6 linked regions of the Rattus norvegicus genome follow. The protein of the gene in region 1 interacts with the protein of each later gene in a biochemical or structural test. Links are inferred from orthologs where the notes say so. Each region holds a gene or a part of one and is shown on either strand. Other genes may lie near its edges.

Evidence for each region.
Region 2: the proteins of Ppp1ca (region 1) and Ppp1r10 form a complex in vitro, tested with the Homo sapiens proteins (2 studies listed by BioGRID). The link is inferred for Rattus norvegicus from reciprocal best matches to the Homo sapiens genes PPP1CA and PPP1R10.
Region 3: the proteins of Ppp1ca (region 1) and Mphosph10 form a complex in vitro, tested with the Homo sapiens proteins (2 studies listed by BioGRID and IntAct). The link is inferred for Rattus norvegicus from reciprocal best matches to the Homo sapiens genes PPP1CA and MPHOSPH10.
Region 4: the proteins of Ppp1ca (region 1) and Sfi1 form a complex in vitro, tested with the Homo sapiens proteins (2 studies listed by BioGRID and IntAct). The link is inferred for Rattus norvegicus from reciprocal best matches to the Homo sapiens genes PPP1CA and SFI1.
Region 5: the proteins of Ppp1ca (region 1) and Ppp1r15a are reported together in a solved structure, tested with the Homo sapiens proteins (2 studies listed by BioGRID and IntAct, with this or other methods). The link is inferred for Rattus norvegicus from reciprocal best matches to the Homo sapiens genes PPP1CA and PPP1R15A.
Region 6: the proteins of Ppp1ca (region 1) and Rrp1b form a complex in vitro, tested with the Homo sapiens proteins (4 studies listed by BioGRID and IntAct, with this or other methods). The link is inferred for Rattus norvegicus from reciprocal best matches to the Homo sapiens genes PPP1CA and RRP1B.

What each region holds. Positions count from the first base shown.
Region 1 is NC_086019.1:210,912,769-210,917,881, forward strand, and holds the start of Ppp1ca (serine/threonine-protein phosphatase PP1-alpha catalytic subunit), read left to right. Parts: upstream 1-1,807; 5' UTR 1,808-1,875; coding exon 1,876-1,930; intron 1,931-2,388; coding exon 2,389-2,520; intron 2,521-2,652; coding exon 2,653-2,883; intron 2,884-3,387; coding exon 3,388-3,492; intron 3,493-4,443; coding exon 4,444-4,667; intron 4,668-4,748; coding exon 4,749-4,883; intron 4,884-4,983; coding exon 4,984-5,094; 3' UTR 5,095-5,113. Other genes in the region: Tbc1d10c (carabin), read right to left, coding at 268-419. UniProt on the Homo sapiens protein: Protein phosphatase that associates with over 200 regulatory proteins to form highly specific holoenzymes which dephosphorylate hundreds of biological targets.
Region 2 is NC_086038.1:2,838,994-2,844,244, forward strand, and holds the start of Ppp1r10 (serine/threonine-protein phosphatase 1 regulatory subunit 10), read right to left. Parts: upstream 3,426-5,251; 5' UTR 3,399-3,425; intron 3,197-3,398; 5' UTR 2,679-3,196; intron 925-2,678; exon of another isoform or gene 633-924; intron 1-632. Other genes in the region: Mrps18b (28S ribosomal protein S18b, mitochondrial), read left to right, coding at 4,032-4,115.
Region 3 is NC_086019.1:127,362,104-127,366,415, forward strand, and holds part of Mphosph10 (U3 small nucleolar ribonucleoprotein protein MPP10), read right to left. Parts: intron 2,592-4,312; coding exon 2,481-2,591; intron 215-2,480; coding exon 107-214; intron 1-106. UniProt on the Homo sapiens protein: Component of the 60-80S U3 small nucleolar ribonucleoprotein (U3 snoRNP). Required for the early cleavages during pre-18S ribosomal RNA processing. Part of the small subunit (SSU) processome, first precursor of the small eukaryotic ribosomal subunit.
Region 4 is NC_086032.1:82,269,663-82,275,012, reverse strand, and holds the start of Sfi1 (protein SFI1 homolog), read left to right. Parts: upstream 1-2,301; 5' UTR 2,302-2,340; intron 2,341-3,472; exon of another isoform or gene 3,473-3,528; intron 3,529-5,350. UniProt on the Homo sapiens protein: Plays a role in the dynamic structure of centrosome-associated contractile fibers via its interaction with CETN2.
Region 5 is NC_086019.1:105,136,439-105,141,705, reverse strand, and holds Ppp1r15a (protein phosphatase 1 regulatory subunit 15A), read left to right. Parts: upstream 1-2,109; 5' UTR 2,110-2,325; intron 2,326-2,929; 5' UTR 2,930-2,938; coding exon 2,939-4,324; intron 4,325-4,767; coding exon 4,768-5,118; 3' UTR 5,119-5,185; downstream 5,186-5,267. UniProt on the Homo sapiens protein: Recruits the serine/threonine-protein phosphatase PPP1CA to prevents excessive phosphorylation of the translation initiation factor eIF-2A/EIF2S1, thereby reversing the shut-off of protein synthesis initiated by stress-inducible kinases and facilitating recovery of cells from stress.
Region 6 is NC_086038.1:10,120,736-10,125,907, forward strand, and holds the start of Rrp1b (ribosomal RNA processing 1B), read left to right. Parts: upstream 1-2,089; 5' UTR 2,090-2,145; coding exon 2,146-2,275; intron 2,276-5,172. Other genes in the region: Hsf2bp (heat shock factor 2-binding protein), read right to left, coding at 159-290. UniProt on the Homo sapiens protein: Positively regulates DNA damage-induced apoptosis by acting as a transcriptional coactivator of proapoptotic target genes of the transcriptional activator E2F1.

The sequences.
Region 1 (5,113 bases):
GAGTTCTTGGGCCAGAGATGAAAAGGGAAAAGATGTTCAGTTTGAAGAGAAAGTGCAGACCCTCGGGGGATAATAGAGATGTAAAAGACCTTCCCTCCACCACCCTTCTTACCTTAATCCCACATGGAACCTGAGGAGTGACACTGGAATGTCACAGCTGAGTTCTGGGCTGGTGTCTACAGCAAGACCCTAGAGGCCAGGCCTGATTCCAGAACTCAGTCCTCAGCCTCTGTCCCCTACCATCTCCCCTACCCATGCCTCACTTACCCCAGCTCAGCTGAGTTGCCCCCAATGAAGCCATATCGGTCAGCCTGACGATATGGGCTGGACCCACTGATCTCTGAGTCGGACCCTAGAGAGCTAGAATCATCCTGTAGTTCTGACGGTAGCAACAAGTCCTCTCCCAGGGCCTGGGCCATTCTGCCCTAGACCCCAGTGTCACAGGCTGCAAGACATATAGAGAGCCAGTGTGAACAGCCAGACTGAGGCTGGGGTTCCAGGAACCAGTCCTCAGTCACGGGGGAGTCAGGTAGTCCCTGAGGTACCACAAAGACCAAGTCTCTGTGTAGAGACCCACCCCAGGCCTGGCCCCTAGCCCAGCTCACCTCCTTGCTGCACCTCACCTCCTCCTCTCACTTCCTCCTCAGTCTCAGCTTCAGCAGCCTATTGGGGGCCCCTCCCTGGTGGGGGGACTCCCCCCTTCCTCTATGAGGTTCTTCCTGCTTGCCTTAGTGCCTGAGCCACGGACTCCTCCCATCACGGATGGGAGGTGTGAAGAGTCCCCGACTTGCCCAAGTTGAAGATGACAGGCCACTATCGGTTTTGAGGTTACTTGCGTGTAAAACCAACTCATGGTTCCAGTAATAATTATGCTTTAATGTCGTCCCACCACTCCAACCCACTGTCCTGGGTTTTCTTTTTTGAGAGTGAAAGGGTACAGTCTGGGAACAAGGGTCTCACGTAGCCCAGGCAGGAGATGAACTCACTATGTAGTTGAGCATGACCCTGAACTTCTGATCCTCCTGTGTCCAGACTCCTGAGTGCTGGAATTTCAGGCACTGGAATTACAGGTTTATGATACATTGGGTTCTTTAATGTGTTACTGTTTAAAAATAATACCTTTCCCCCCTTTTCTTTCTTTACTTTCCTTCCAGAGCCGGAGATAAAACCTCAGGCCTTGCACATGCTAGACAAGTCCAAGCATTCTACAAAGGACTTACAACAGGAAGGAGATAAAATAGTATTACATCACTTAACGAAAAAAAAAACCTGACGTAGCAGGCACCAAGGCAACCTGGACCAAAACATTGCTTCGAGTTCAGTAGCAGGTGTTCATGGGTCTGGCCATAAAGACCGAGGTGAATGTGAGGCTCTGGAGGTTTGGAGCTCACTCTCAGTGTCATTGAGCCTTAGTTCCTTTTTCTGCACTTCGAGGAATTACTTTACAGTGTTTGAGAAGTCAGCGATTAACATGCTCACACCACAATCCCACGCAGGGCTGGGGTGGGAAGAGACTTGGAAAGAGAAAAACAATTTCTACAGTACTTCCGGTTCTAACTCATCAGAACGCAGCAGGGCGATTCCTCCTGGGTGGAGCCGACCCAACTCCGCCCTACAAACCCCGCCCTCCACCCCTGCCAGGCCTCGCCCGGCCGCCCGAGGCCCTCCCCGGCTGCAGTGCTTCCGGTCCAGGGGAGGCGCTAGAGAGCAGGGAACTACGGACGCGGCAGGGCGGGGCGGCCGGCCGAAGAGGCGGGGCGGCGGGCCGAGGGCGGGCTGGGGAGGGCGGAAGGAGAGCCAGGCCGGAAGGAGGCTGCAAGAGGGCGGGAGGCAGGAGAGGGCCCGGAGCTGGTGGGCCGGAGCGGCGGCGCCGCCATGTCCGACAGCGAGAAGCTCAACCTGGATTCCATCATCGGGCGCCTGCTGGAAGGTGGGTAGGGGTAGGGAAGGTGCGCGCGCGCCGAGCCTGGGCCCATCGCCGTCCGGAAGTAGAGCGCGGGCGGGCCCGCCGCTCTCGGGGGCTAGCGTCGCTTGGGCGGGGACAGGCCGTGAGGTTCTATGGCCACGGCAGCCCTCCCTACTCCCTGCGCCTAGGCTTTGGAGCGCGCTCCGAGGCCGGGGACGCTTGAGTGGCCGAGACTCAGGGTGAGACTCCTGCGAAGCTAGCTGGGAAGGGGTTCTGAGGCGAGGAAGCTTCGGTTGACAGGCTGCTGAGCACAGGCGTGTCTCTGGAGGGCCTCCGGGTGGCTAAGGGGTCGTATCTTGCCTTTGAAGGCCTGATGCAAAGGTTTCAGCGGGGGCTCCCTTGCAACAGTTGCTGGTGTTGGGGAGGGGCGCATGACATTCGGTCTGCGAGGTCAGGGTCCCAAGACCCTATTCCGTACCCAGTGCAGGGCTCACGGCCTGGAAAGAATGTGCAGCTGACAGAGAACGAGATCCGTGGTCTTTGCCTCAAATCCCGGGAGATTTTCCTGAGCCAGCCTATTCTTCTGGAGCTTGAGGCGCCTCTCAAGATCTGTGGTAAGCCCTTGCTCAGAACCCCTTAGCTTCCTCAAAATAGCCCCTTACTCCTGCCCCAGTACCTGTGTTTCCGTTGCTGGCCCTGGGTTCAAGTTTACATCTTGGACCTACCTAGTCTTCTCTGGTTCCCAGGTGACATCCATGGCCAGTACTATGACCTTCTACGGCTGTTCGAGTATGGTGGCTTCCCTCCAGAGAGCAACTACCTCTTCTTGGGGGACTATGTGGATCGGGGAAAGCAGTCTTTGGAGACCATCTGCTTGTTGCTGGCCTATAAGATCAAATACCCGGAGAATTTCTTTCTACTACGTGGGAACCATGAGTGTGCCAGCATCAACCGCATCTATGGCTTCTATGATGAATGTGAGTGCTTTGAATGTTGCTGGTTGCCCAGAACTACATTTCCTGCACTTCATGGGCCCCCTAAATTGTTCTAGTGCTGAGAACCCTGATGATGGGTCCTGCAAAGCCCCAACCAAGCTGTCTGTTATCCATGGCACCAAGGAAGGGCCTGGTGAATGGATGTACATGCAGGGCTGCCCGTTTGCTAAAGCTTCCTCCACAGCCCTGCCCGATGACACTTCCCTCTATTGCATCCCTTACTAAGCATTTAGGGTGCATGTTATGAATAAACCAGACACTGAGGTTAGGCCAGACTGGAGTTCAGGTTCTTGTGGACCCAGGTGTTGGAATTCTGGAAGGTAGATGAGGGCAGAGCAAGGAAACTGTAATAAGCTTTCTTTGCCTTCTAGTCTTTGCACTTTGTCAGAGTAACCCACAAAGTACCCTGGAGGAGTGCACAGAAAACTATAGACTGGGTTTTGTGTGGTGGGTGGTCTTCCCTACGAGCCATTTTCTTCTGTGCAGGCAAGAGACGATACAACATCAAACTGTGGAAGACTTTCACCGACTGCTTCAACTGCCTGCCCATTGCAGCCATTGTAGATGAGAAGATCTTCTGCTGCCACGGAGGTCAGGATGGTTGTGGGGTCTGTGCTTGGGCTATATCCTTAGGGGCCTTGGAAAGTTAACAGAACTCTCCTGTTTCCTGGAGTAGCTCTCCTTGAATTTGGCTGTCACTTATTACAGGTCACCCACAGCCCAGTTTGTTTTTGAGACAGGGTTTTTCTGTGTTCTGGAACTCACAAGAGTTCTGGTTATCTCTGCCTTCCAAGTGATGGGACTAAAGGCCTGCACCACCTCACCTGGCTACACACCCCAGTTCGACTGCGCTTTCCTGTTGTGGTATTTAGCATGCTATAGGCAACTCATTCATCTCCTTCCCCCACGGAGGTCTACTCTTTTTTTTTTTTTTAAATATTTATTTTATTTATTATATATGAGTACACTGTAGCTGTCTTCAGATACACCAGATCTCTTTATAGATGGTTGTGAGCCACCATGTGGTTGCTGGGAATTGAACTCATGACCTCTGGAAGAGCAGTCGGGTGCTCTTAACCGCTGAGCCATCTCTCCAGCCCGTACTCTTTGTACTTCTAAAAGCTGAGGGATGGCCAGGTGGCGGTGGCATACAAAGGGAGTTCCCTGGGTTGGGGATTTAGCTCAGTGGTAGAGTGCTTGCCTAGCAAGCACAAGGCCCTAGGTTCGGTCCCCAGCTCCGGGAAAAAAAAATGTTAATACATAAAATATCCAATAAAAAAAAAACTGAAAAAACATATTCCTAAAAAAAAAAAAACAAAAACAAAAACAAAAAAAACAAAGGGAGTTCCCAGACAGCCAAGGCCACATAGAGAAATGGGGCCAGCAGGAATATAATGAACTCTGTTTCCCTAAACTTAAGGAGCCCAAAAGATGAACCCAGCGTTGGTGGGGAAAGTGGAGCTGACCCCTGAGACCTTTCTGGGCATGGGATAGTACCTGCTTTTCGGTGTAAGGAACACTATTCTCACTCTACCACCCCAGGCCTGTCTCCAGACTTGCAATCCATGGAGCAGATTAGACGTATTATGCGGCCCACGGACGTGCCTGACCAGGGCCTGTTGTGTGATCTGCTGTGGTCTGACCCTGACAAGGATGTTCAAGGCTGGGGCGAGAATGACCGTGGAGTCTCCTTTACCTTTGGGGCCGAGGTTGTAGCCAAGTTCCTGCACAAGCATGATTTGGACCTCATCTGCAGAGCACATCAGGTGGGCTAGTGGCCTGGGGCAGGCTGTGGGGATGGCTAGCTGCTTAACTTAAGAGACCAAATGGTTCCTGTCCTTGCCCAGGTTGTAGAAGATGGCTATGAGTTCTTTGCCAAGAGGCAGCTGGTGACACTCTTCTCAGCTCCCAACTACTGTGGCGAGTTTGACAACGCTGGCGCCATGATGAGTGTGGACGAGACACTCATGTGTTCCTTCCAGGTGGGTGTGGGAAGAGATCCTTATGCGCTCCTCCCAGGTGGGTGTGGGGAAGAGGCTGCCTGGCTCAGTGCCAGGACCTGATCAGGGTTCTCTCTTTCAGATCCTCAAGCCCGCTGATAAGAATAAGGGGAAGTATGGGCAGTTCAGTGGCCTGAACCCCGGAGGCCGTCCCATCACTCCACCCCGCAATTCTGCCAAAGCCAAGAAATAGCCTCCATGTGCTGCCCTCT
Region 2 (5,251 bases), on another chromosome or scaffold:
AGCTCTGTAAGAATCAGATTCTCCAAGGTTCCCTAGAAGGCCTTGTTTTTCATCTCCCACATAAGGCCTTCTTTACTAATCCCCTGCTCACTAGAGATCAGGAACCCCAGTGGATGGAACATTCAGGTCCCAAGGTAGGTGTGCTGCAGAGGTACCTGGCAAACTGCTTAAAAGATAAAAAAGACGTGTGGTAAATAGACATGTGGAAGAGGCCCTCCCATTCAATCAGAAGTCCAAGCAATGAGAATCCACACCCAGCAGAAAATTAGCCCTGTTGCACCCAAGTCACTATAGGACAGCAGGACAAAAGGCTTACAAACTGCCTAGAAACTCCACACTTCAACGCAGGACTTTAAATAAAAAATGAAAAGTATATGAAGAAAATGTCAAAGACTTGACTTTGAAAAAGTTGGGGAAGAGCTAAGGAACCAGGCGCCCAGTACTGCCCTCACGGGCGTGGCTCTCAACATGCACCAACTGCCCCAGCACTCAGCAGGGAGGAAGAGGACATTCCTCTCCTCAACGCTTTAATGGAATTTCTTTTTAGGAAGCAAGGAAAAAGAAATTCAAAAAGGTGACTCTTTGGGAAAAAGAAAGGTTGTGAAATGTAATACCAGAAATGTTTTGCTTACCAGAAACCGTAGCTTGACTCCCCCTGCCTCGAGTTTACAACTGCAGCCTCCTTTCCTAAAGATTCACTTCTCATCCTAGTGCCAACATACAGGAACTAAGCAACTGCAGGTGATGGCACTGAGCACAAAGTTTATCCCCAAACTGAGAGGTGAGAATAAGGATGGTTTACAAGAGAGTCCTACAAGTACCCACCCTCCCCACCAGACTGACACAAAGCAACCAATATTCAGGAAGTACAAGGACCCATCCTGAGCAGCATGGCACACTGCAGCTCATCAGGCCCAATTGTCTACTCGTGTTACAAGCCCTGTGTCTTGCCCCAGTCTCTCAGAGCTAAAGCAGTCGGGGTTGGATTGGTTTTCACCCCTATCAACTGAAGCAGGGAATAGGTCCAAGCAGTTGTGATGAGAGGAAGGTGAAAATCAAGGCAATGGACTGTTAAACACAAAACCTAGAGCTACACAAGGACAAGGACAGCCTCCCTCCCTAGTGTTCATTAAGCTTTTATCCCTGTAAGATATTTCATAAAAGATAAAAGAAAACAAGAAAAAAACTATTCTCCCCAGCAGCAATCTGCAAGGGGAGAGAAGGCATCTGCTTGGGGGTGGAGTTTTCAGAGAGGAAGCAAGCTGATTACATCACCTTTCATAGTGGCTCCTCCCCCTTGACCAAGCTTCTAGGGAAGCCCTAAGCTGACTGGCAAAAGAGAAAAACAAAGGAGGGACGCCATTTTGTTATGGAGAGGATTCAAAACTTAAAAGCCGGCGGCCAGATCTGCCGGCAGCTTTACTTACACTATAAGGCACTAAGTAAACCAGAAGTCATCCCCCCGGCCACCACCCTCAACTTGACCTATCTTAATTAAGTCTAAGAGCCTACTACTGAAAATAAAACCAATTAATATACAATTTCTTGCGGGTTAAGAATATGAATTTGCACCTCAAATTCAATTTGCTACTACACCGACCACCCCAATCCTCCCTATAAAGGGCAAGGAGGAGGATTTGGACCCCTCAACAAATAGGACTGAGGTGGGGGGGGACACAGGAGAAAAATGGGTCAAGACACAACCTGCAACGCCGCTTGCAAGACAAAAGGACAAGGAAAAGTCGCCATATTTGAAGCAGGGAAGAAAAAAGTTCTTTTAACGACACAAATCTTCTAGAAAAGATAGCATTCAAATGCACTAATGGCTTTTAAAGTTATCTTCCTGAGTTCCACATTTCCCAACCTTTCCACCCTCTTAGCTGTATCCACCACCCACTAAAAAGTATCAAGTTAAAATGTTAATCATTTTGCCTTTAAATAACCTATGCAAGCTGAAACAATCACAAGACATTCTTTACCTCCCCAAATGTTATATTGTATGTACTTGTTACTATGATTATATTTTGCCCTAAATTTAAGTGTCTTGCAATCTTTATTCCTAGATTGCCACCTATTTTAACCACACAATATATCCCAAGCAAATTACATTAAAACTGAGAGGATTTAACAATCACTTTAAAGACATAGCCAGCTAATATTTCTCTCTGCCCATCTCCTTACCCTGCAATCTTTATGTACAGATTGCTTATTAATCTGGCAAATTGAAAGGCGTTCTGCTTGTCTCACACACAAAGAAGTGGGACTTCTGGGCCACAAGATCCACCATCTTTTGTATGTGAGCTCATTAACCCTTTTGAAGACTGCTAACCAGAGGAAGGTAACCATTCCTCCTTATAATAGCAAAGGCTTATGCTTTGGCAGTCTGGAAATTTGCTGGATTATCAAGGGTTAACCGTCAAAATCCTCACTGGCTGGCCCTCCCTTCACCCTCTCCTTGCCTGCTCCACAGCAGGGAAGAGGCAGGTGGTAGGGGAGAGAGAACAAAGACTGTTTAGACCCACAGGACCTTTAATGGAGATTTAAGAGACCCGATTGGTCCTTCTCCAGTACTCTACGTTTGTTCTATGGTCTCATTTCTTCCTCTCATTATTTTTGGTTTCACAACGGGAAACGTTGATTTCTTGTTCAAGGCTGGTTTTTGAAAATTCGACACTTACTATCCAATTTTTTTGCGACGTCAGCACCTCGGGCTCAGGGGGGAGGGGTAAAATTTTGGAGGAAAAAAAATAAAACAACCAACCAGGACCCAAACTCAGTTACTTGTGGGGCCTCATTGGATCAAAAAGTCTCTTAAAAAAGTAAAGACCAACTCAGTTTTCATTTTCCCCCCACCCAACTCCATTAGGGAGAGGGGGTCGTTGAAAAAAATTCTGAGTGGACTCCAAAAAGGAAATGCTGGATGAGTGAGATTGGGTGGGTTTGGGTAGGGAGGGTGGTTGATTATTTTTGAAGTTATGTGGTGACGGTCCTTCGGCCACAGATTTCAAGTCCCAAGCAGCGTGGGCTGGTGGGGTGGGCAAGATAGGTGGGGAGGGGCAGAAGACACAAGTGGTTGGGCTGGTGGCTGCTGTTTTCCCTTTCCCCCCTCTCTCAGGATCCTTTCAAGGGTTTAGATGTTGCTGAGGCTTGTTTGTTTTCCTGATGGCCGGCCTGTCTTTCTCCGAGAAAATTCAACCTGGGGTAAAAGGAACACAAAAGGAGAAAGATGTCATCAGTACGGGTCGCCTTTAAACGTTTCAAAATTCCTTGTTGTCCCAGGATGCAGCCGCATTAGGTAAAAATGCGGCTGCCCAGTAAATCCAAAAAACACCCCACTTCCCCGGCCAACCGCTCTCGGCAAAACGTTACCCTCAAAGCGACGGAGCACCCAAACTTACCTCTAAACGAACCCCAGAATGGCGGCCGCCCGCTCGGGCGGAGTCTTTTATACCCGGCCACCGCCCAACGCACCCTAACGTGATGGAGAACCGCCCTCGTCGTGACACATTGTGCGCGAGGGGAACGCTGATTGGCCACAGTAAAAGCCGGGTCGCCCGCGGATTGGACGTCCCTCCTCCACTTTCCTGGAGTCCCTTCCCTTAATCCCCTCTTCCGTCTCCTTCGGATCACCTCGGAGCCAGCGCGTGATCGCCGTGTCCGGCACCTCCCCTTCCTCTGCCCCCAACACTTCCGCCCGGGCAAACGTGTCTCACCCTCGGTTGGTCGAAACGACCGTACGCATGCGCACTGGGAGCACCTTAGTCAAAATCGCAATCAAAATTGCTTTCGTGTTAAACACTAACCATGGAATTTATGAGCCATCGTGACTGGTCCGGGAGAAATGCAATTTTGAACGCTAGTTCGATTGTGACGCAGTTTAAATTCGCGTCCCTCCGCGGACCCCGCCCTTTGACGCTTCCGTCCTTAGGCACGTGAGCTGCCGCCTTCCGCCTTGCGGGGCAGGTCCTTGGCCCCGCCCTAGTCCTTGTCCGGCGCATGCGCAGTCGTTCTTCCGGCAGGCCGTACGTTGGATGTGCGACAAGATGGCTGCCTCCTTGCGGCACACGCTGCTAAGGCTGTATCCTTCACTCTTACGAAGTTCCTATGTAGCTCAGGTAAAACGTGGAGGAATTTCTCTGCCGACCGGTGGTGTCGATACTTTCAACCTTTGCTGCATTACGATGAGTTAAGGGGCACGGGTCTTCCCATATGTTTACGTGTTAGATCTGCACCACCCTCTGTTCCCACGGCGCGCGATTTCTTATATTTTTGGTTGTGAGCCTAGCCTTTAACGGCTGAGCCATCTCTCCAGCCCACGGCGCGCGATTTCTAAATACTGAGCGTTCGGGTCAGAACCAGGGTTACGTGTCATCGTCTCCCCCCGACTACCATTAGGAAAAAGAACTAGGTGGTGGGGTTACCCCAGTGGAAATGAGCAATTCATAACTAGATCGTTAGTACCTGAAGTGGTACCCAGAAAGTGTTTTTGTAGCAAAGGGCCTATTTTAAGATTTTCCCCCCCGTTGTTCCGGAGACAGTCTAGGTTGATCTCATAGGTGCTCCCTGAGCTTTCTACCTCTGGTTCCCAGGTTATGGAATTAAAAGCAAGATACACCACTCCTACTCCACCTTTTCACACATCATTTTCTTATCAGAGCATGCGTGAGAGTCTAATTCTGCTCTCTAGATTGAGATTGCCCTTTAGCCTGAGGTACTCACCACCCTGGAGGTTCTTGGCAGGGCAGGGAGAAATAGGAAGGCTTGTCCGGACGCCACTCCCTAAAATGGGACTACAGAGTGGTGACAGAGGTTACCACCGAAGTAATGACAGGCTTGGTGGCTTTAAAGCTAGCGTTAGCACTCACATTTGTTTTGCCCTGTGGAATGTTGACGCAGCATTTTATGAAACTGGTCACCGAAGTGACTTTGGATTTTTCTCATCGATTTGAATCACCCCTGCTCCCCATGAATCTTACTTCCAAAGGTTTGGACATATTTTTTCCCAGTAGAACCAACTAATGCTCAAGCAAGCTCAGATCTTAGTATGCCAAGGTTTTTAAATCGTTACATCCCACTAACAACCTCTACCTTGCTGGCTTATCCTACAGGATCTGATTGGGGAGCCTAGGTAGAGTGGTTGTCAGTTTAACAACAACAGAATTGCTACTTTCTTATATCTTCTTGCCAAGTTATGCTGATATTTTTGTGCACACGCTCCAACTCTCCCCAAAGTATGATAAACCAAATAGTT
Region 3 (4,312 bases), about 84 Mb from region 1:
TACAGAGATCTAAACCTCAAGGGAAGTCACATTAAATAAATGCGCATCTGGCTGCAATGAACTTACTTGGAGGGAGTCACTAAACATTCCCACACTGCCTTTTTACCTTGATTTCCTCTGGGGCCAGGAGGGCTGCATCACTGACACTCACTGGGGCCACTTCCTCCATGGTTATGGCTGGCAGATTCGACACAACTTTAATTTCAGGAACAGGCTAAAAAAGAGATAAGGCATTTAGTGGGGAGAAGAAGTGGGGCAAGCATTGGCCACAAACTTTTTTTTTTTGTTTTTGTTTTTTTTTTTCAGAGTTGGGGACCGAACCCAGGGCCTTGCGCTTGCTAGGCAAGTGCTCTACCACTGAGCTAAATCTCCAACCTCACAAACTTTTTTTTATAGAGTTGACTTCTTCTGCACATGTTAGGGTTGCTGGCTTGGTGTTTTTTTTTTTTTTTTTGGGAGGGGGGAGGGTGAGGAGGGACAGGAATGTCCCTGATCACTGACTCCTTCACCTGCTCTCAGGATGCTTTCCTCCTGCTGGGTTGCCTCGCCCAGCCTTATGTGAGGATCTGTAACTACTTTTATTCCATCTAGTGCTGTGTTGGGCTGAGATCCCTGGGATCAGGGAGATGGGAAAGGAGGTGGATCTCGGGGCGAGCGAGGGGAGGTGGGTGGTAAACTGAGAGAAGGAGAATTTTTTTAAAATCACACACTAAAAATAAATAAATCCATCCATCCATCCATCCACCCATCCATCCATCCATCCATCCATCCATCCATCCATCCATCCATCCATCACTGGGCTGACTGGAATGACCTTGACAACAGGCAACATCAAAGCCATCCCAGTAGCATTTACACCTACATATCCACACCTCTCCACCTCAGCAAAACAGTACTCCATGCCACCTATGTGGGCATTCTCAAGCAATTCCATGTACTTAATAAAACTTGGTGATTAATTATCACATGGCTTTTTGTTTTGAAACAAATCTAAGCTCTCTGCAGAGATATACAAAAAATGCTTATGAGAAAAATACAAACTATTTAAGCTACTAGAAATCTATCTTCATATATTAGCATGAAATGGTACAAAACTATTTATAAAACTAACATAATGTATATGAAGGAATGTTAATATGCTCAATCTTTCGAGAGGCTGTATATGGGTCTGTATAGCTACTGTCATTTCAAGATACCAGTGTCTAAGCCAGGCACAGAGGACATTGTTCGGGGAAATGTCATAAGAGCAGAACCACATGAGAAGAGGACAGGAGCCCAGACCCTAAGCAAGAAGAACTGTGGAATGTGAAAACAATCCCTGTCAAGCAGGCCACTGTCCAGAGATTATGAGAAATACTGTGCTCCCCTACAGTCAAAAACAAATAGGGAGGAAATCTCAAAATACAATACAACATGGCAGCTGGTGAACAGTTCATGTCTGCAGAGACAGTGTGTAAACTATGGACACACATATGAAAACGAAAATATTAAAAGACCTGTAACAGCCAGGTGCATTCCTAGATTCAAGTGTGAAACATTGACAATCCTTTAGACCTTGGCAAAGCAGGGGCTGCGGAAATGGTCAGGGATCAGGTGACTGGTATGAAAGCAAGTTGACCTGAATTCAAATCACCAGTCTCCATGTAAAATATGCGCACAGGCTTGCTAAGTCCATCGCTGGTGAAGAGGACATAGGCAGAACCTGGGAGCTCACTGACAAGTTAGTCTATCTGAACAATGACCTTCTAATTCTGTGGAGAGGTCTTGTCTTAGAAATAGGTTGGAGAGCAATAGAGGAAGACACCTGATGCTTCCCTCTGGCCTCTGCATGCTTGCATCTAGACTAGTCCTTAGTTCATAACAGTCAAGAGGACAGCAATGGGCAACCTGTGAGCAAGCACCAACATGATGGTTCAAGCCCGTCTCAGGGAACTACAGACAGCTGCAAGTAGATGGGCTTCCAAGGAGTCAGCAGAATCTCAGCCAGCCCAGGAAAGGCTCAGGCTGGAAAGGAGACTGAGAGGTCTGGGACTGGCTGGAGCACATTAGGCAGTGCAGAACACAAGAGCCCAGTGCTAGTTCTGCCCCTCCCACATTCAGTGTGCTCATCTGCTAAAGGGATAGTTAGACAGTGAGTGTTTGGGCAGTGAAAGTGACGTAAGCCCAGGACCTAATACGACTTGCAGAGGCCACCAATCAATGTGAGGGAGACACCATCACACAATTAAGCACAACTGAGGGCCAGGAGAGGAGGAATCAGTGAGGCTCAGGGCTAAAGGTGACCAGGGGCCTGCTGGAGAGCAGGCTGCAGCAGGATGGAAGGCAGAATTAACCCAGGAACAAAGTGACCGTCCCTTACAGAAGCCCTGTTGTAACTTGCAGCTGTGTGTCCTGACACCAACTGAGAAGAAGCTCTCCAGAGCTCAGAGCTGTTCAGTTCACACGTGCTACTTTTTCTACCACACTGTAAATTCACATACCGGTTTGGGGATGAAGTGGAAGTTTGACAGGGCATCCAGTTTTAGGAAGAGAGAATCCATCATCTTCTGAATTTCTACATGCTCTGGATTGTCTTCTTCTTCAGCTTTTTGCTAAATGAGCAAGGCCAACGTTAGATGAAGTAGCTTAACTGTACCACAGAAAAAACAGTACAGACAGTGAAGGTGCCCCAGTTTCTCAGAACCACAGCTTTACCGCCCAGCAACTCTAGCCATCCCGGTGGCGCACGCCTTTAATCTCTGCACTCAAGAGGCAGAGGCAGGCAGATCTCTGTGAGTTTGGGGTCACACAGGGCTACAATGAGATCTTGTCTCAAACAAAATAAAAAGCAAAAACAATGGTTTTGTGGGATGATGGTACAGTAATTCCCAACACTCAGGAGACGGAGGCCAGAGTACTACAAGTTCAAGATCAGCTTGGGTTACATAGTGTTACCTTGTTTGTAAAAGGTAGGAGAGAAGAAGAAATGTCCCAAAAGTAAAGTTGCAGGTATAAGCACTATGATGGTGCCAGTGCCTACCAAAGACCACAAGGGTGCACATTAGTACCCATTACCTCTGAAATTTAGAACAAACAGTACAATGCCGATGGCATTTCCCAACAAAAGGTAAGCTAATCAAAGTAGGACCAAAGTTTAAGGGCTATTAATGGATGTTGGTGAGGATGAAGAAATTGGATTCCTGGGAATTATTGGTAGCAAAGTGAAACGATGTAGCCATAGCGGCAGCAAGCTTAGCAGGTCACGGAAGGTTAGACTTAGCATTTCCCTCCTAGATATGGATCCAAGGAAACTAAAGCAGATACACGCATGCACGCACACGTGCACATACACTTAAGAGTGGGACTTCCTATACCCAGAAGGTGAGAACAGTCCACATGTTCAGCTGGAAAGTGGATCAAGAAACTGTGGCCCATGTATAAATGGAACACTATCCAGCAATAAAGTAGAAATGAAGCGCTCATATATGCTGCCCAACATAAAGACATAATGCTAAATAAAAGTCACAAATTACGTGACTTCATTTACACAACAGGCAAATTCACAGAACTAGGGTGTAACAGCAGGGGGGGGAAGAGGAAGCAGTAGATTATTGAGCAAGGACTGGGGAGCTACAAACAGGCGGCACTTGCTTAAAACTACACTAAGTGCTTCCCAATTATTCATTTACTTATTCTTGGTTTTTCAAGACAGTCTCGCCATCACAAAATATGTTTATTTTAGTCTGAGTCCTAGCATTTTAGGAGTGTCTGACAATCTGTCTAGGTAAAATAAAATGTTTAATTTTGTGTTGTGAATGTAATTTGTTCAAGGTTTGCTCAGATTATTCACACTGATATGGAAAAGACAGTCACTTGAGTTTAGAGTCAGGCTGTTTTATTTATGTTTGCTCTTCCCCTAGCACCAAATACATACTCTGAAAGGTAAGATGGTATTTGTTTGCTTCTATTTGTCATAATTAAGATATAGTAGAGGTGCAGAAGGTGGGGAGGGGGGCACCCACATGAGTAAGAAGTGACTGGCTCTGCCTGTGGCCCAAGTCAGATAACATATGTCATTAGCACTCATTCCAATAAACCCAGGTGAGGAAATAAGTCTTCCCCAGGATATGGTCTTCTCGCCATCCAACTAGAAATTAATCTTAGAATTTAAAAAACAAGACAAACAAAAAGAGCCTATGGGAGATCATTTCATAAAGAAATAAATTACATCAATTATTTCAAATGTCAAAGCAGTTGCTGGGACGTCAGTAGTTGACTACACTCAGTGGGAACATTATGGGCTGTCTTCCCACCATCCGTGCTGGGAGACAGC
Region 4 (5,350 bases), on another chromosome or scaffold:
AAAGACTGATAACCACAGCACTGAGGGGCGGGGTTAGGTGGTGGTGGTGGTGGTGGGAGTTGAGTCCCCTGAAACCACAATCTTGACTCCTCTGAGGCAACAGACAATCTTGCAAGTCTGTTCCTGGATAGAAACAGAAAACTAAAGTTTCCTTTGTCCTTTCATCAGGGCCTCTAAGGACGTCTTGGGTAGGTCTGTCTCTCCAGAGTCATCATAGCAATAGGAAAGTAGCCCACCCTATTATTTTTCTTCCTAGTAGGACGGATTTTCCTGTATCTCACACGGAAATACTGCTGATCTCTTATCTCAGTTTGTCAGAGCTGAGGCTGATGAATGCATACAGTGCGAAGACAGCATCTGCAAATCAGTTGAAATCCAGAGAGTGTGCTTAGGGTGGAGAGAGTGCTCAGCACTGACTGCCCTTGTGGTGACTCAGGCTTGATTCTCAGCAACTACAGGTCAGAATCACTTCTAACTCCAGCCCCAGGGGAGTCAATGCCTTGGGTTTCCAGGGCACCTGCACTCATAGTTACATTCCCCCACCAGACACGTGTACACATACACATAATTTCTTATCCCGGATATAGCAAACATATAATTTTGTGAAGCTACTTGTAAGACTAGTTTATAGTAAATTAAAAATAGTTCTAGGGGCTGGGGATTTAGCTCAGTGGTAGAGCGCTTACCTAGGAAGCGCAAGGCCCTGGGTTCGGTCCCCAGCTCCGAAAAAAAAGAACCAAAAAAAAAAAAAAATAGTTCTAGTATTTTGACTATGAAATTAATCTAAAAAAAAAAGAAATTAATCTAATTACCTTAGCAATACTTGGAAGTTGTAGCTTCAGGTAAGAGTTATACCCCAAAGGTTGGTTTTCTCTATATACTTTATTTTGTATACTCTATAACTTTATTTTATTTATTTATTTATTTATTTATTTATTTATTTATTTATTTATTTTGGTTCTTCTGAGACAAGGTCTTGTTTTGTAGCATTGGCTAGCCTGGAATTCCCTATGCAGAGGACTAGCCTGAAACTTCATATTCACCTGCTTCTGCCTCTCCAGTATTGAGATTAAAGGTATGTGCCACCACACCTGACTCCAATAATTTTGTTGTTTTTTTGGTTTTGGAGACAGGGTTTCTCTGTAGCCCTGGCTATCCTGGAACTCACTCTGAGGAGCAGGAGAGCAGGCTAATCTTAAAGTCAACAGAGATTCACATGCCTCTGCAACGCCCCCACCCCCATCCCCCGCCATGCCTTTCTTTTGTTTTTGAGACAGTCTTTCCAAATTCTGACAGTGATCTTAAAATTAGTGATTTCCCCCCATGACTCAGCCTCCGGAGTAGCTAGTACAGGCATACACCAGCAGGCCAGATTTTTTTTTATTACCTTTATTTTTTGTGTGCATATCCATGGCTTGTTGCCAGAGGTCAAAGAATGACTTATGAGAGTGAGTCCTCTTTTGCCATAGGGATCCGAGAGACTGAGCTCAGGTCCTGTGCCTCAGAGACAGGTACCTTTACCTGCTGGGCCATCTTGTCATTTCAGCAGACTGGATTTAAACACTATTTCCTTGCCCATTCTGAGTCTCATTCCAGCCTAGGCAATACTAAAATTCATTCAATAGGCCAGTTGTCTTTAACCTGCAGGGATCCCCCTGCCTTAGCCTCCCACAGATGATTGCCATAAATGACTGCTTTTAAATCTTTGAATTACAAAATCACCCTTTGTAAAAGGACAAAACCCGTATTTCTTGGGCTTACTCTTTTTAAAATTTTGAGTATGAGTGTTTTGCCTGTACATAGGTCCAAAGAGAGCGCAACTTGGAGTCACAGCCGTTTAAGAGCCACCATGTGGGTATTGGGAGTCTGGATGAGTCAAAAGTGCTTTTAACTTCTGAGTCATATCTCTTGCCCCTTGGTTTTCGTCTTCAGACACCCACCCACTAGTTTTCACTGTTCTTAGAATGAAACTTCATATTTTTTTCTGGAAGCTGTGTTTTTAAAGATTCGGCTAATTGGCCTGTTTGATGCGGAGATTACCGACGTGCGCCACCACGCAATGAGGAGAGACACTTTTCGGTCTCACACCGGTCGGGTGCAGGAGTTGTAACTGGAGACACGCTTCCAAGAAGCGCCGATACTTCCGGCCAAGAAAACCGTAGGAAGCGGAGCCTCTGTTTCCCGGAAGGCAGCGCGCTCTAAACGCGACAGATCAGCTTCCGGCGCGGGCCGCGTTGCTGTGGAGATGGGGGCGGGGCCGCAGACGCAGGGCGCGAAACCCCAGACTGCGGGCCTTTGCTACAACCTCTCTGGGGTCTGCTGAGGAGTCACCTCTCTCAGGTACGAGGCTGGGCCCAGCGCCCGCAGCCTTTGACTGGCTCGTCCCCCTGCTCTGAAGCTGGCAGAGGGCGGGTGCCTTAGAGCTTTGTCCTGTGACGGCTCAGCCGGAGCTTCCGCTTTCTTCTGTAGACGTGCAGGAGATGCTGATTACCCAGAAGGCTCTGGTCCCTGTGTGGAAGTGCGAGCAGAGCGTGCGTAGGGTCGCTCACAGTCTTGGCTGTTTCTTCAGGGTCTATACGTCCTCCTCCCCCTGGTGGATAGCTCCCCTGGGTGATTCTCCCGCCTGTGCTATGCTTACTATCCTGCGCAGATGCACGTCCGATTAAGGGGTGTGGCGGGGCATAAGGCTCTTTGAGTACACTGATCTGTGACCAAGCAGAGAGCTGAACCCACGTTGCATTTGCACCATGAAACCTCTTCTTGTGTAGTTCCTGAAGGTGTATAGAGGTTTGAACGCTAGTGGAAGCTTTGCCACCTGTTAGCTGATGGCCTTGAGCATCAGCCTGGAAAATGACAAAAAGCACCAGCTGAGGTGGCTGTTGTCAAAGTGAGTCGTTCATGAAAAGTGTTTCGGAAAAACGCGTGGAACCTGTGCTATGTCCTCTTAATTGTAGTCCGCGAGCCTTAGATTTTGTAATTATCAAGTAATTTCAAATTATCGTGGTTTAAAAAGTTAATATTAAATATTTTTAAAGGAAAGATTGTGTATTAAAGGAGCCAGGGAGATGGCTCAATGCTTAAGAAACCCTTACTCCGGTTGGGGATTTAGTTCAGTGGTAGAGTGCTTGCCTAGCAAGCACAGGCCCTGGGTTCGGTCCCCAGGTCCGAAAAAAAAGAAAAAACAAACAAACAAACAAAAAAAACCCTCACTCCTTTTTGAGGGAATACCAGATGGAATCCCAGCATCCACATCTGTTGACTAACAACACACTTGTAATTACAGCTCATAAGTAGACTGCCTGTCTGGTGTCCTGGAGGCTTTGGACTCCATTTCTAGCATCTCTGTAGCACAAGGTAGCTCACACTAGCCTCATAACACAGACTAACTTCCAATTCATGATTATTTAAAGACATTTAAAAAAAAAGATTTATGTGTATGACTGTGTAACTTGTGCATGCCTGTTCCCCTCAGAGACCAAAATGGAGAGGTCAGAAGAGGGCATCGGATCCCCAGAACTGGAGTTACAGGTGATTGTGAGCCACTACTGGGTCCTGGGACTTGAATCTGGGTACTTTGGGAAAGCAGTCAACTGTTGCATTGTTCTCAACAGCTGAACCATCACTTCATCCCCCCATGCCCCAAACCCACAAAGATTTACTTTTATTATTTGCAGTTAGGTGTCCGTAGGGGTACACGTGCATTTGCGTACAGGGGCCCTTGGAGCCATGGGTGTTAGATCCCTTATTGGATCCCTTGGAACTGTAGTTACAGGTGGTTGTAAGCCATCCAATTGGGGTAGTAGGATATCATGTACTGTTAACTGCTGAGTTATTTCTCCAGTCCCGATCTCAGCTTTTCAAACTGTAGGTCATGACTCCATATGGAATGAGTCTTGAAAAATTTGACAAGAGTAAAGGCTTCCAAATATGTGGCCAAAACGAATTAAAAAATCAAATGTCATGAATCTGAGGTGTTTGGGCCATCACTCGTCCGTGCTGTGCCATGTGACCTTGTTTATGGTGTTCTTGCTTCTGGCACAAACGTGAAGTCTCAGTATGCAAGCAGTCACATCAGCACAGGGCAACAAACGAGGCTGTTCGTGATCAAGTTATGTACTGCAGTATTTTTCCCTTTTTTTTTAAAAGTTGGAAACTGTCTCTTTATGTAGCTTGCTTTATGTATTTATTTAGTCAAAGTTTCTCTGTGCTTCTTTAAAAATTCAAGCATTTAGAGGCTGAGGAAGGCAGATCTCTGTGTGTTTGAGGCCAGCCTGGTAAACAGAGTGAGTTCCAGGACAGTCAGAGCTACTTAGGGAGATCCTATCTCAACCATCAAAAACAAAACAAAGCACCAAGCATGCATACAGGACTGAAATCATAATATATGGACCCTTGTGACTGGCTTATTTTATTCTCTGTGATATTCTTGTGGCTAACCCATATTTAAGAATTTAGTATATACTATTGTATTTACTATTTTTTTCCTCAGGGTATCACTATGTAGCCCTGGCTGTCCTGGAATCACAGGGTGGTCTTGAGTTCACAGAGACTTGCCTGCCTCTGCCTCACACAAGCTAATGATGACGGTATGAGTCATCACGCTCTGCCCTGAACATTCTTGTATAAGCCTGTGTGTAGATGTAGTTTTCTTCAGTACGTATGTGACTAGTAGTGGAATTTCTGGGTCAGTTTGTTCTTTATTAAACCTCTTAGGAGGTCCATCCATGTATGCAACTGAAAGCCAGTGTCTAGCAAGCTTGGGGGTGTTTTGGGCTATCATTGTAATTAACATTCTATATATTTTCCTGGATGGTGGTAGTGCATGCCTTCAATCCCACCACATGGGAGGCAGAGGTAGGCAGATCCTTGAATTCAGTGCCAGCCTAGTCTACACAGTGAGTACCAAGACAGCCAAGGCTACACAAAGAAACCCTGTCTTGAAAAACCAAAATCAGAAAAAGAAAAGGAATAATAAAACCAAAACAGCCACAACAAAAACTTATGTCTATTTCAACCTAGAAGCTAATTTGTGCCCTTGTTGAGAGCAAACCCATCTCCTAACCTTTTAGTACATTTTAGTTTCCTCTGTGAGGTTCCGAAATTTGTTTGTTTTGAGGCAGGGCTTTGATATATAAGACCATGTTGGCTTCAAATTTGCAGTGATTTGTGGGTAGAGACATGGCTCAGCAGTTTACAACCCTTGTCGGGGACCCAGGTTTACCAACTAGCATGCACATGGTGCCCATAACTCCAGCTCCAAGGGATCTGAAACCCCCTTTTGACCTCGTGCATATGGCAAAGCACTCCTATACATACACAGAACATATAAATCTTTTCTTTTCTTTTCTTT
Region 5 (5,267 bases), about 110 Mb from region 1:
TGTGAGGCTCTGGGATCCACATACAGGCTACACACACTCTCTTTCTCTGTCTGTCTCTGAGACACACACACCAGGAGGGAAGGCTGGAATTGGATCTCTGGATCTATATCTGGGATTTGAACAGAGCCCCACCCCCATGAGAATGCAGGCCAATCAGAAATTCAAATTATATAAGCCAAACCTTTGTATAAATTCAAAAAACATGGACACCTGTGTGTGAAGACAAAGAGTCTGTTTAGCGGTGTTCTCCACACACTATCTGTTGAGATCACACTTGTACCCTCCATACTGGGTAGGACTGCCGAGAGTACCAGGGCAGCTGGGGCAACACGGGTTCAGCCCAGGTTTCATAGTAAGTTCCAGACACTCCTGGAAAAACAATACAGGTCCCTGACAAAAGAAAAAACAAAACAAAGGAAACAGAAACATGCGTTTTTAAAAAAGAAGGAGGAGACTCCATGAAGGCAGGCCTTGGGTGGGGTCACTGCTTCTCTGTACACAGGAGGAGAATTGCCCAAAGATTCTTTGGCCTTCTTCCCCTGTGAGTCCCCGGACAGTGTGGACTATACTGTAAGACCCTGCTCAATACAGACAGACTGGACAGGCATAGTGACACATGCCTTTAATCTCAGTACTCAGGAGGAAGTGGCAGGTGGACTTCTGTTCTTTGAGTTCAAGACCAGCGTGGACTACAGAGTGAGTTCCAGGACAGGCAGGGCTACACAGAAAAATCCTGTCTGAAAACAAAACAAAACCCAGACAGACACACCAAAAACAGCCAAGGGACCAGAGAGATGGGTCAGGGCCTAATCACTTGCTACTCTTTGCAGAGGACCCAAATTTAGTTCCTATAACCCTCCATGAGAAGCTTCACAATTGTCTCTAACTCCAATTCCACCCGTGTTCCGACCTCCATATGCACCAGACATGATATACTCACACATACGCACAAACACACACACACACACACACACACACACACACACACACACACACACACACACACGGAAAACATATAAAATAAAGATTTAAAAAATCTTTTTCTTTTGGCCGGGGTGTGTGGGAGAGCATCTGAGCCATCTCACCAGCCCAGGGTGCACGTCTTTTTCTTTTTTTCGGAGCTGGGGACCGAACCCAGAGCCTTGTGCTTGCTAGGCAAGTGCTCTACCACTGAGCTAAATCCCCAACCCCGGTGCACGTCTTTAATCCCAGAATCAGGAGGTAGAGGTAATGAGATCCCAGTGAGCCCAAGGTCAGCCGAGTCTACAAAGTGAGTTCCAGGACAGCCAGAACTAATCTTGGAAAAACAAACAAGGGCTGGTGAGGTGGTTCAGTAGTTAAGAACACTGGCTGCTCTTCCAGAGGTCCTGAGTTCATTCTCAGTAACCACATGGTGGGGATCTGATGCCCTGTTCTGGCATGCAGATATACATGCAGATAGTGCACTCCTACATTTAAAAAAAAAAAGACATAAATAATATTTTAAAACATTGGGTGTTTTGTCTTCTAATAAAACTTCACTGCTATCTTCTAATAAAAATTCACTGCTAGCCGCGGGGTGTGGTGGCCCCATACCTTTAATCCCAACACTTGAGAGGCAGAGGCAGGCGGACCTTTGAGTTTGAAGCTAGCCTGGTCTACAGAGTGAGTTCAAGATAGCCACGGATAGTCAGAAAGTCCTGTTTCGAACCTCTCCCCAACCAAATCACTCCTGTAATCCCAGCACTCTGGAGGCAGTAGCAGGTTAGTCCCTGCTTCTCAGAGAGAGGAGAGAGAGAGAGAGAGAGAGAGAGAGGAGACACACACACACAGAGACAGAGAGGGAGAGAGAAAGAGAAAGAGAATGGGACGGCATGTGACTGCCTGATGAAGTTGGCGTGCTTGCTCAAAAGTTCTGCGAGATTGACGGCTCTCTGGATTTGAGCCAAGGACACGCCTGGGAAGCCACGGTGACCTCACAAGGCCCGGAATCTCCGCGAGAATTTCAGTGTTGTTTTCCTCTCTCCACCTTTCTCAGGGACTTCCGAAACTCCGCCTCTCCGGTGACGTCAGCATAGCGCTGCGTCAGACTATAAACTCCCGGGTGATCGTGTTGGCGCAGATTGACTCAGTTCGCAGCTTGTGGAAGATTACATGCGAGACCCCGCGCGACTCCGCATCCCTTTGCCGGGACAGCCTTTGCGACAGCCCGTGAGACATCACGTCCCCGAGCCCCACGCCTGAGGGCGACATGAACGCGCTGGCCTTGAGAGCAATCCGGACCCACGACCGCTTTTGGCAAACCGAACCGGACCTCCAGCCCCCGGGGTGACGCGCAGCCCGCCGGTGAGTGGGGGATGGGGCGGCCTTTGGGGGAGTGCTGGGGAGGACTTTCTTCGGCGAGGAGGCTAGGAGAGTGTTGTGGGATCTGAGGGGCAGACTGGGGAGGAACCCAGATTTGAGGAAACGGCACTGAAAGCCGGATGCTTTATTTGGTCCGAGAGAGGAGAGCCCAGGTCTAGTCTCTACATTGAAGGGCAGGGGTCCTGAACTAGAACTGCAGTACTTGTACATTGCTAAATAAAGAGAGGGACTCCAGGAGGAGCAGCCTGGGTCTAAGAGGTAGGCAGGAGGAGGTTTTAGGGGCCTGAGCACAAGCTTGAGGAGAGAAAGGTTATTAAAAAGCCAGACGCTTACAGGTCTCAGAAGGGCTAGCCAGAAACTGTGGCTGGGGTTAAGGAAAGGGTTTAAGAGTGTGGGCTTTTGGTTCTGAGGATGTAGAACGTGAATGTTGAGAGAAGAACCAAGTGGCGGAGTTGGGTGTGAGCAATGCTATTAGGAATTTGAGGCAGGGATTCACGCGCTGCTGTGACTATTTTTTAACAATGACTCAGTGCTGTGACCTGATACTGTTTCCAGAGCGACTTCTAAACAAATTCCCCCTTTCTAGGCCAGACACATGGCCCCAAGCCCAAGACCCCAGCATGTCCTGCACTGGAAGGAAGCCCACTCTTTCTACCTCCTGTCTCCACTGATGGGCTTCCTCAGCCGGGCCTGGAGCCGCCTGAGGGGGCCCGAGGTCTCAGAGGCCTGGTTGGCAGAAACAGTAGCAGGAGCAAACCAGATAGAGGCTGATGCTCTGTTGACGCCTCCCCCGGTCTCTGAAAATCACCTACCTCTCCGAGAGACTGAAGGAAATGGAACTCCTGAATGGAGTAAAGCAGCCCAGAGGCTCTGCCTTGATGTGGAAGCCCAAAGTTCCCCTCCTAAAACTTGGGGACTTTCAGATATTGATGAACATAATGGGAAGCCAGGACAAGATGGCCTTAGAGAGCAAGAAGTGGAGCACACAGCTGGCCTGCCTACACTACAGCCCCTTCACCTGCAAGGGGCAGATAAGAAAGTTGGGGAGGTGGTGGCTAGAGAAGAGGGTGTGTCCGAGCTGGCTTATCCCACATCACACTGGGAGGGTGGTCCAGCTGAGGATGAAGAGGATACAGAAACCGTGAAGAAGGCTCACCAGGCCTCTGCTGCTTCCATAGCTCCAGGATATAAACCCAGCACTTCTGTGTATTGCCCAGGGGAGGCAGAACATCGAGCCACGGAGGAAAAAGGAACAGACAATAAGGCTGAACCCTCAGGCTCCCACTCCAGAGTCTGGGAGTACCACACTAGAGAGAGGCCTAAGCAGGAGGGAGAAACTAAGCCAGAGCAACACAGGGCAGGGCAGAGTCACCCTTGTCAGAATGCAGAGGCTGAGGAAGGAGGACCTGAGACTTCTGTCTGTTCTGGCAGTGCCTTCCTGAAGGCCTGGGTGTATCGCCCAGGAGAGGACACAGAGGAGGAAGAAGACAGTGATTTGGATTCAGCTGAGGAAGACACAGCTCATACCTGTACCACCCCCCATACAAGTGCCTTCCTGAAGGCCTGGGTCTATCGCCCAGGAGAGGACACAGAAGAGGAAGATGACGGTGATTGGGATTCAGCTGAGGAAGACACAGCTCAGAGCTGTACCACCCCCCATACAAGTGCCTTCCTGAAGGCCTGGGTCTATCGCCCAGGAGAGGACACAGAAGAGGAAGACGACAGTGAGAATGTGGCCCCAGTTGACTCAGAAACAGTTGACTCTTGCCAGAGTACCCAGCATTGTCTACCAGTAGAGAAGACCAAGGGATGTGGAGAAGCAGAGCCCCCTCCCTTCCAGGTGGCCTTCTATTTACCTGGACAGAAGCCAGCACCACCTTGGGCTGCCCCTAAGCTGCCCCTTCGACTGCAGAAGCGGCTCAGATCTTTCAAAGCCCCCGCCCGGAATCAGGACCCTGAGATTCCTCTGAAGGGTAGAAAGGTGAGTGCTAGCAGCTTAGATCCTAAAGTGGCTTACTTTGTGGCTAAGGAGTTTATAGTCCTAGTGCTGGGATTACAATAGGATTCATACTGCCCTTTTTTCTTAAATATATAATTTATTCAAAGGACCTAGATTCTGAGTCAGGAGGAGGAAGAGGAGTGGGGGGGTGTGGTCTGGAAAAATCCCTAAGGAAGTGTGCTGGGGGTGGAGACTCCAGGGAGCCATGTGTTGCAACTTGTTGCATAGGAACTCTGCCAGGAAGGCTGTGTTCACTCTCTTGCAATCTCCTGTAAGAGGGAGGAAGAATGATAGCTGTAGCTCATGTGGCCCTGAACATGTGTCTTGAGTGAGTCAGAGGGGCAGGCAGGCAGGTGACTATTAAAATACCAAGCACTTTTTGCGTGACAGATTTTTATTTCTTGCCGCTGTCCATCTGTCCCCAGGTGCACTTCTCTGAGAAAGTTACAGTCCATTTCCTTGCTGTCTGGGCAGGACCAGCCCAGGCTGCTCGTCGAGGCCCCTGGGAGCAGTTTGCACGAGATCGAAGCCGCTTTGCTCGACGCATTGCCCAGGCAGAGGAGCAGCTGGGTCCTTACCTTACCCCTGCTTTCAGGGCCAGAGCATGGACACGCCTTAGAAACCTACCCCTTCCTCTGTCGTCCTCGTCTCTTCCACTGCCTGAGCCTTGCTCTTCCACTGAGGCCACACCCCTCAGCCAAGATGTGACCACTCCCTCTCCCCTTCCCAGTGAAATCCCTCCTCCCAGCCTGGACTTGGGAGGAAGGCGGGGCTAAGCCTGAGTAGTTTTTTGTTATTTATTTATTTTAATACGAAATAAAGCCTTTTGATTTGTAGTGATAAGCTCTAAGTGTGTACTTATTGATAGCTTAAGGGAGGCTAAATATGTGTGTACTTATTGATAGCTTAAGGGAGGCTAAATATG
Region 6 (5,172 bases), on another chromosome or scaffold:
AGATGACTTGGAACCGCGCCTCGTGTCTCTGGTCTGGCCCACCCTTGCGCGGCTCCCGGCCTGGCCCCTTCAAGGCTACAGGGACATCTTCTCAGGCACAGGAGTCACCCTGAGGGAAGTAAACACCAGTAGCTCCCATATGTGGGGCACACACTGACCCGGCAGGCCTCCTCAGTACCGGAACGCTCGCCCACGATCGCAGCCATAGCCAAGGCCTCAGCTTTGTGCGCCTGCGCAGAGCTCTCTAACACGCGCAAAAAAAGTGCGGGAATCTGAAGATGCCCGACCATACGGAAAGCCGCGAGGTTCAAATCTCGCCAAATTTGCGCTTCACTCTCGGCCCCTGGACCCAGGGATGAGAAGGAACCAGACTCTACTGCGGCTCTTCTCCTTCAGTGTTTCAGACTTGTGACCTGCAAAATGAGGCCTGAGTGTCAAACAGAATCCGTCCTTCCCTGTTTACGGAGAGGATGCTAGAACCAAACCTACAAACTGAAAAACCGCACAGGGAGAACCTCGTCGTCCCTTGGCCAAGTGCTTCTGTGTTAAGGGATGCATTTTCGCATGCACAGAAGAGTTATTTTAGCTAGGTAACTGAGGTTTGAAACTAGATGTAGTGGTACATGCCTATGTCCCAGCACTTGGGTGGTGGACGCTGGAGTTCAAGACCAACTTGCTACACAGCAAGGGAAATCTAGCCTGGGCTACATGGGTGGGGGAGCGGGGTTCAAAATGAAATAACTAAAGCTTGGAAGAATATACTAATCTAATAATTCTCAAATGTTTGATGACCTAGAGTTTTGGATGTCCCTAAAGTAAGCATAACTGTTAAAAGACTTCTTTCATATTGGTTTAGTGTGTTCCCTGCTCGTTCTGGTTTTGTCAACTTGACACAAGTTAAAGCCATGAGAGGAGGGAATCTCAATAAAAAAAAAAAAAAGTCTCTATAAAATCAGATTGTAGGCAGACCTGTAAGGCATTTTCTTAGTTAATGATTGATGGGGAAGGACCCCACCTGTTGTAGGTAGAGTCAGCCCTGGGCTGGTGGTCCTGGGTTCTATAAGAAAGCAGGCTGACCAAAGAGCAAGGCCGTAAGCAACATCCCTCCATGGCTTCTGCATCAGCTCCCGCCTCCAGGTTCCTGTCTTCTTTGAGGTCCTGTTTGAGATCTGGTCCTGGCTTCCTTTCATGGTGAACAGTAATACGGAAATGGGAGTCCTCCCCAGCTTGCTTTTTGATCCTGGTGTTTCACTGTAGCAATACTCACTACCTACTGCTCAGAACTGTGTGTTTTGAATGCAAGAGGTCTTAAAGACAGAGCCAAGCTCCCTCCCTGTTAGACCCTCAAAATTTTTCCCTCTCCAATGGACATCCCTGCGTCTGACCCAGTCGTTGTGGGTATGGGTTTGCTGACTCCCCATTCAACAAGTTTGCACCCGTCCCAAGATGCGACAGGGAGGCTTGCTCGCTGCAGGAACGGATTGTTCACTACACCGCACCTCTGTAAGTGCCCTTGTTGCTTCAGGGACGGGTTTCTCTCTCTTCTCCAAATCCCGAACCTGTCCTAGAACGCTGCAAGGGTCTCCTCGCCCCCTCTGCACTCGTCCCAGCACATTGGAAGAGGGCCCATTCCCTCTATAATGCTGCGTGCCTGCATCAAGACTCAAGGCACTGTCCTGAGGGGAACGGGGCGCTGAAGGGTGGGAGAGTGGAAGTTGTCCCTGTGCTGTTGTAAGCCTCGGGATGCCAGGATAATGGCCTTCCTTCTGGGTCTCAAGTCTGCTCAGGGAAGCCCGCGGAGTTCACAGACACCGGGTGAATGGAGGTGGCAGGACCGCCGCTTCCCTGACAGACCTTTGTTAGCTGTGGTTAGACTCTAGAACTGCATCAGGTTAGCCGTAGTCGTCCTGCCGGAGGAGATCTGACCCTAACTACCCGCCCAGAACTTGGACCACCCACAGGATATACTTCAGTAGCGGGGCTACGTATCTACTCGCACAGGGGCCACGCGGACTCCCTGGGCGCGCGGCAAGCGGCGCACCGGTGACGCCATCACCCACGCGCCGCGGCGCCTGCGCAGGCGCAATCCAGATCGCTCGGCGGCTAGCCGCACGCGCGCAGCCCGGGGATGCTGAAGCGGGTGCGATGGCTCCCGCCATGCAGTCTACCGAGCTCCAGTTCGCACAGCGGCTGGCCTCCAGTGAGAAGGGCGTCCGCGACCGCGCCGTGAGGAAACTGCGGCAGTATCTCAGCGCAAGGACGCAGAGCGACACAGGTGCGGGCCTGGGTCCGCGCCGCTGCGCGCGGCGAGGGTCGCGCCAGTGGGCACGGGTGCGGCTGCTACGGGCTGTGCGGCAGAGCTCCTGACCGCTAGTCCCAGCTCACCGCTGGCCCAGTTCGCCGAGGCTCGTTTGTGTTTCTTGTTTGTGTTCCATGGATAGTACCTGTAGGCGCTGGGGTGCGTTAGAGAGTTAGCCCTGAGAAGAACTCTGGCAGTGTGGTGGTAGAACTGATGGCAGTGTAGTGGAGCACGTGTGAATGCGGGAATGTATATCAGTAGCGTGGAAAAGTGCAGGAGAAAGTCCTTCTAAAGGAAGCCACCTGTGCTCTGTTGAGATTTTGACAGGAGGAAGCCAGGCAGGCAGACGCAAGAACGCTAAGTGTGCCCTGAGCCAGAGAAATCTATCTGTAAGTTGGCGCGCAGGGCGTGTTGAGATAAAATTGAACCTGGGGGCAATGTGGTCACTTCGCTGGCTTTGGGGAAAGGGAGGGGAGGTTGGATTTTAACTGCCGTGGAATGCATTGCAAAGATTTATTTTAAGTGACCCAGAATAGATTCTGTTAACTCCTGAATGAATTCGCAAAGTCTAGACTGCAGCATACTGTGAAGGTTTCAGGTTGCAGCCAGTTGGCTAAAGTTTGAGTTACGGGTTGCTAAATCTGATTAAAATTGAAGTCTGGGGGGCCTGAGAGATTGCTCAGCCGTTCAAGTCCCAGTACCCACATGGCAGCTCAGAACCCTTTTCCTGGAAAGGAGTCACCCCCTCTGACCTCTACCAACACCAGGCATGCACGTGGTGCATAAACATAGAAGCAGGCAAACCTCCCACTAAACTACCTACTTACTCATACCTAAACTAAATCTTTTTTTTTAAATGGTTTTTGATTGAAATCAGTCCCAGGTGGCAGTACATACCATTAATTCCAGCATCGTGAGGCTAAGGGCAGCCAGGGTCACAGAGCAAGCAAGACCTTATTGCCAAGAAAGGAGACTTTTTGAGACGTCTGATAAAAACTAAAAGTTTTTTTTTTTTTTCTGGGGCTGGGGACCGAGCCCAGGACCTTGCGCTTCCTAGGTAAGCGCTCTACCACTGAGCCAAATCCCCAACCCCAAGTTTTTAAGTTCCAAAAGTTATGTTTCCACTGTGGAATCCAGAGGTCAGATTTAGGTAGTGAGGTTTACCGAGCTGAGCCGCCTTGGCAGCTGCATTTCCCATCCCCACCCCCACCCCAGCCCTGTTAAGGATTGCCCCAGAAATTCAGTTTCCTCTCATATTGTCAATTTTCCTATATACGTGTGCTGGTGGTCCCTAAACCTAACTTACTGGCCCAGGTGGACCTTGGCTATCCTCCGCTCAGATTAGTGTCACTAGCCTGGTACTCCACCTGGCTGTCCCATGAGTGCCTCAGTACCAACAATGGCATCTGCTCCTCCCTCCAAACACCTGTTCTCTCCTGCTGCTCCTCCTCCTCAGCTGCTCATTCTTCCCACATTTTCTCACCACCATCTTACATACACACACACACACACACACACACACACACACACACACACACTATCCTTCTGTCCTTCTCAGTTAACTTGAATTACTCTGCCTTAACCAGAAGTTCCTTTATTTTACCTAGATTTCTGGTCCATCCGTTCCCTTAACTCTGTTGTGCCTTTTGTTTACTTGGGTCCCCCCCACCCCCCGCCGCCGCCGCCCCGACCCGACCCCAGACAGGGTCTCTCTGTATCCCTGGCTTTCCTGGAACTCACTCTCTAGACCAGGCTGGCCTCGAACTCAGATTGCCTGCCAAGTGCTGGGCTTAAAGTTGTGAGCCCCCATTGCCTGGTTTGTTTGGTTTTGGTTTTTTGAGACAGGATTTCTCAGTGTTATAGCTCTGGTTGTTCTGGAGACCAAGCTGGCCTCAAACTCTCAGAGGTCCACCTCCCTCTGTCTCCTGAGTGCTGGGGTTAAAGGCATTTGCCCCAGGCTTCCATTGTGCCTCTTTAGTCTGCCCTCCACAAACAGCCCAGGTCATTTTCTTAAAGCAAATCTCATCTTCCCACTGCTTCCCTTGAAGGCCACAGTCTGACAGACCTGGTGTCCTCACCTGCTCTTCTAATTCCTCAGTAGTCCGTTAAACCCCTGTGGCTGAGCACACCACTCACACTCTTCTTGCCTCCTCCCCCCTTGCATTCAGGCTTGTTCTACAAAGAATTTTGCCCTAGCAGTATCACTTCTGAGAGAAATCCTCCTTTATGATCTCTCCCACCACCCTGTCACCCCTAAAATTATAAAATCTGTGCCCCTCTGATAGTGCTTAGATACAGAGGGAAGGAAAAGCTATTTGTTCTGAGAAAGGATTTCCCAGAGCCAGGAGTGGTCTCTACTAGCTATACTGAGAACGGATGACCTTGTCCTCAGCTATGTGCAGATAGCTTTGTTTGTATGAACTCTGTGGTTTGTATCCTTTCCCCCACAGGCACTGTAAGCTTCCCTTTGTCCTCTAAGCCATAGGTGAAAATATGGAGCCTTAGGAGAGCCTTCAGGAGACAAAAGCAAAGTACAGTACACCTGGACTGGAGACAGCCTGAGAGCATGCTTCTCAGAACCCTTTGAGAACAGCCCCCCCACCCCCGTCCCAAAAAAAAAGAGAACAGGCCCAATACCCCAGGGTACTTCCTGATGACTTATCTTTTTCCCCTATTCATCATCGTGGCCAGTTTGTGGGATATCGTAGGCCTTCAGAAAAATAAAATAACTGTGGACTGTAGAGGGACTGGAGAGATGGCTCAGCAGGTTAGAACATTCGCTCCTGCAGAGAATTGGCATTCCATTCCTGGCACCCGTGTGGTGGCTCATAACCATCCATTACTCTAGTGTCAGAGCCTCTGACACGGTCTTC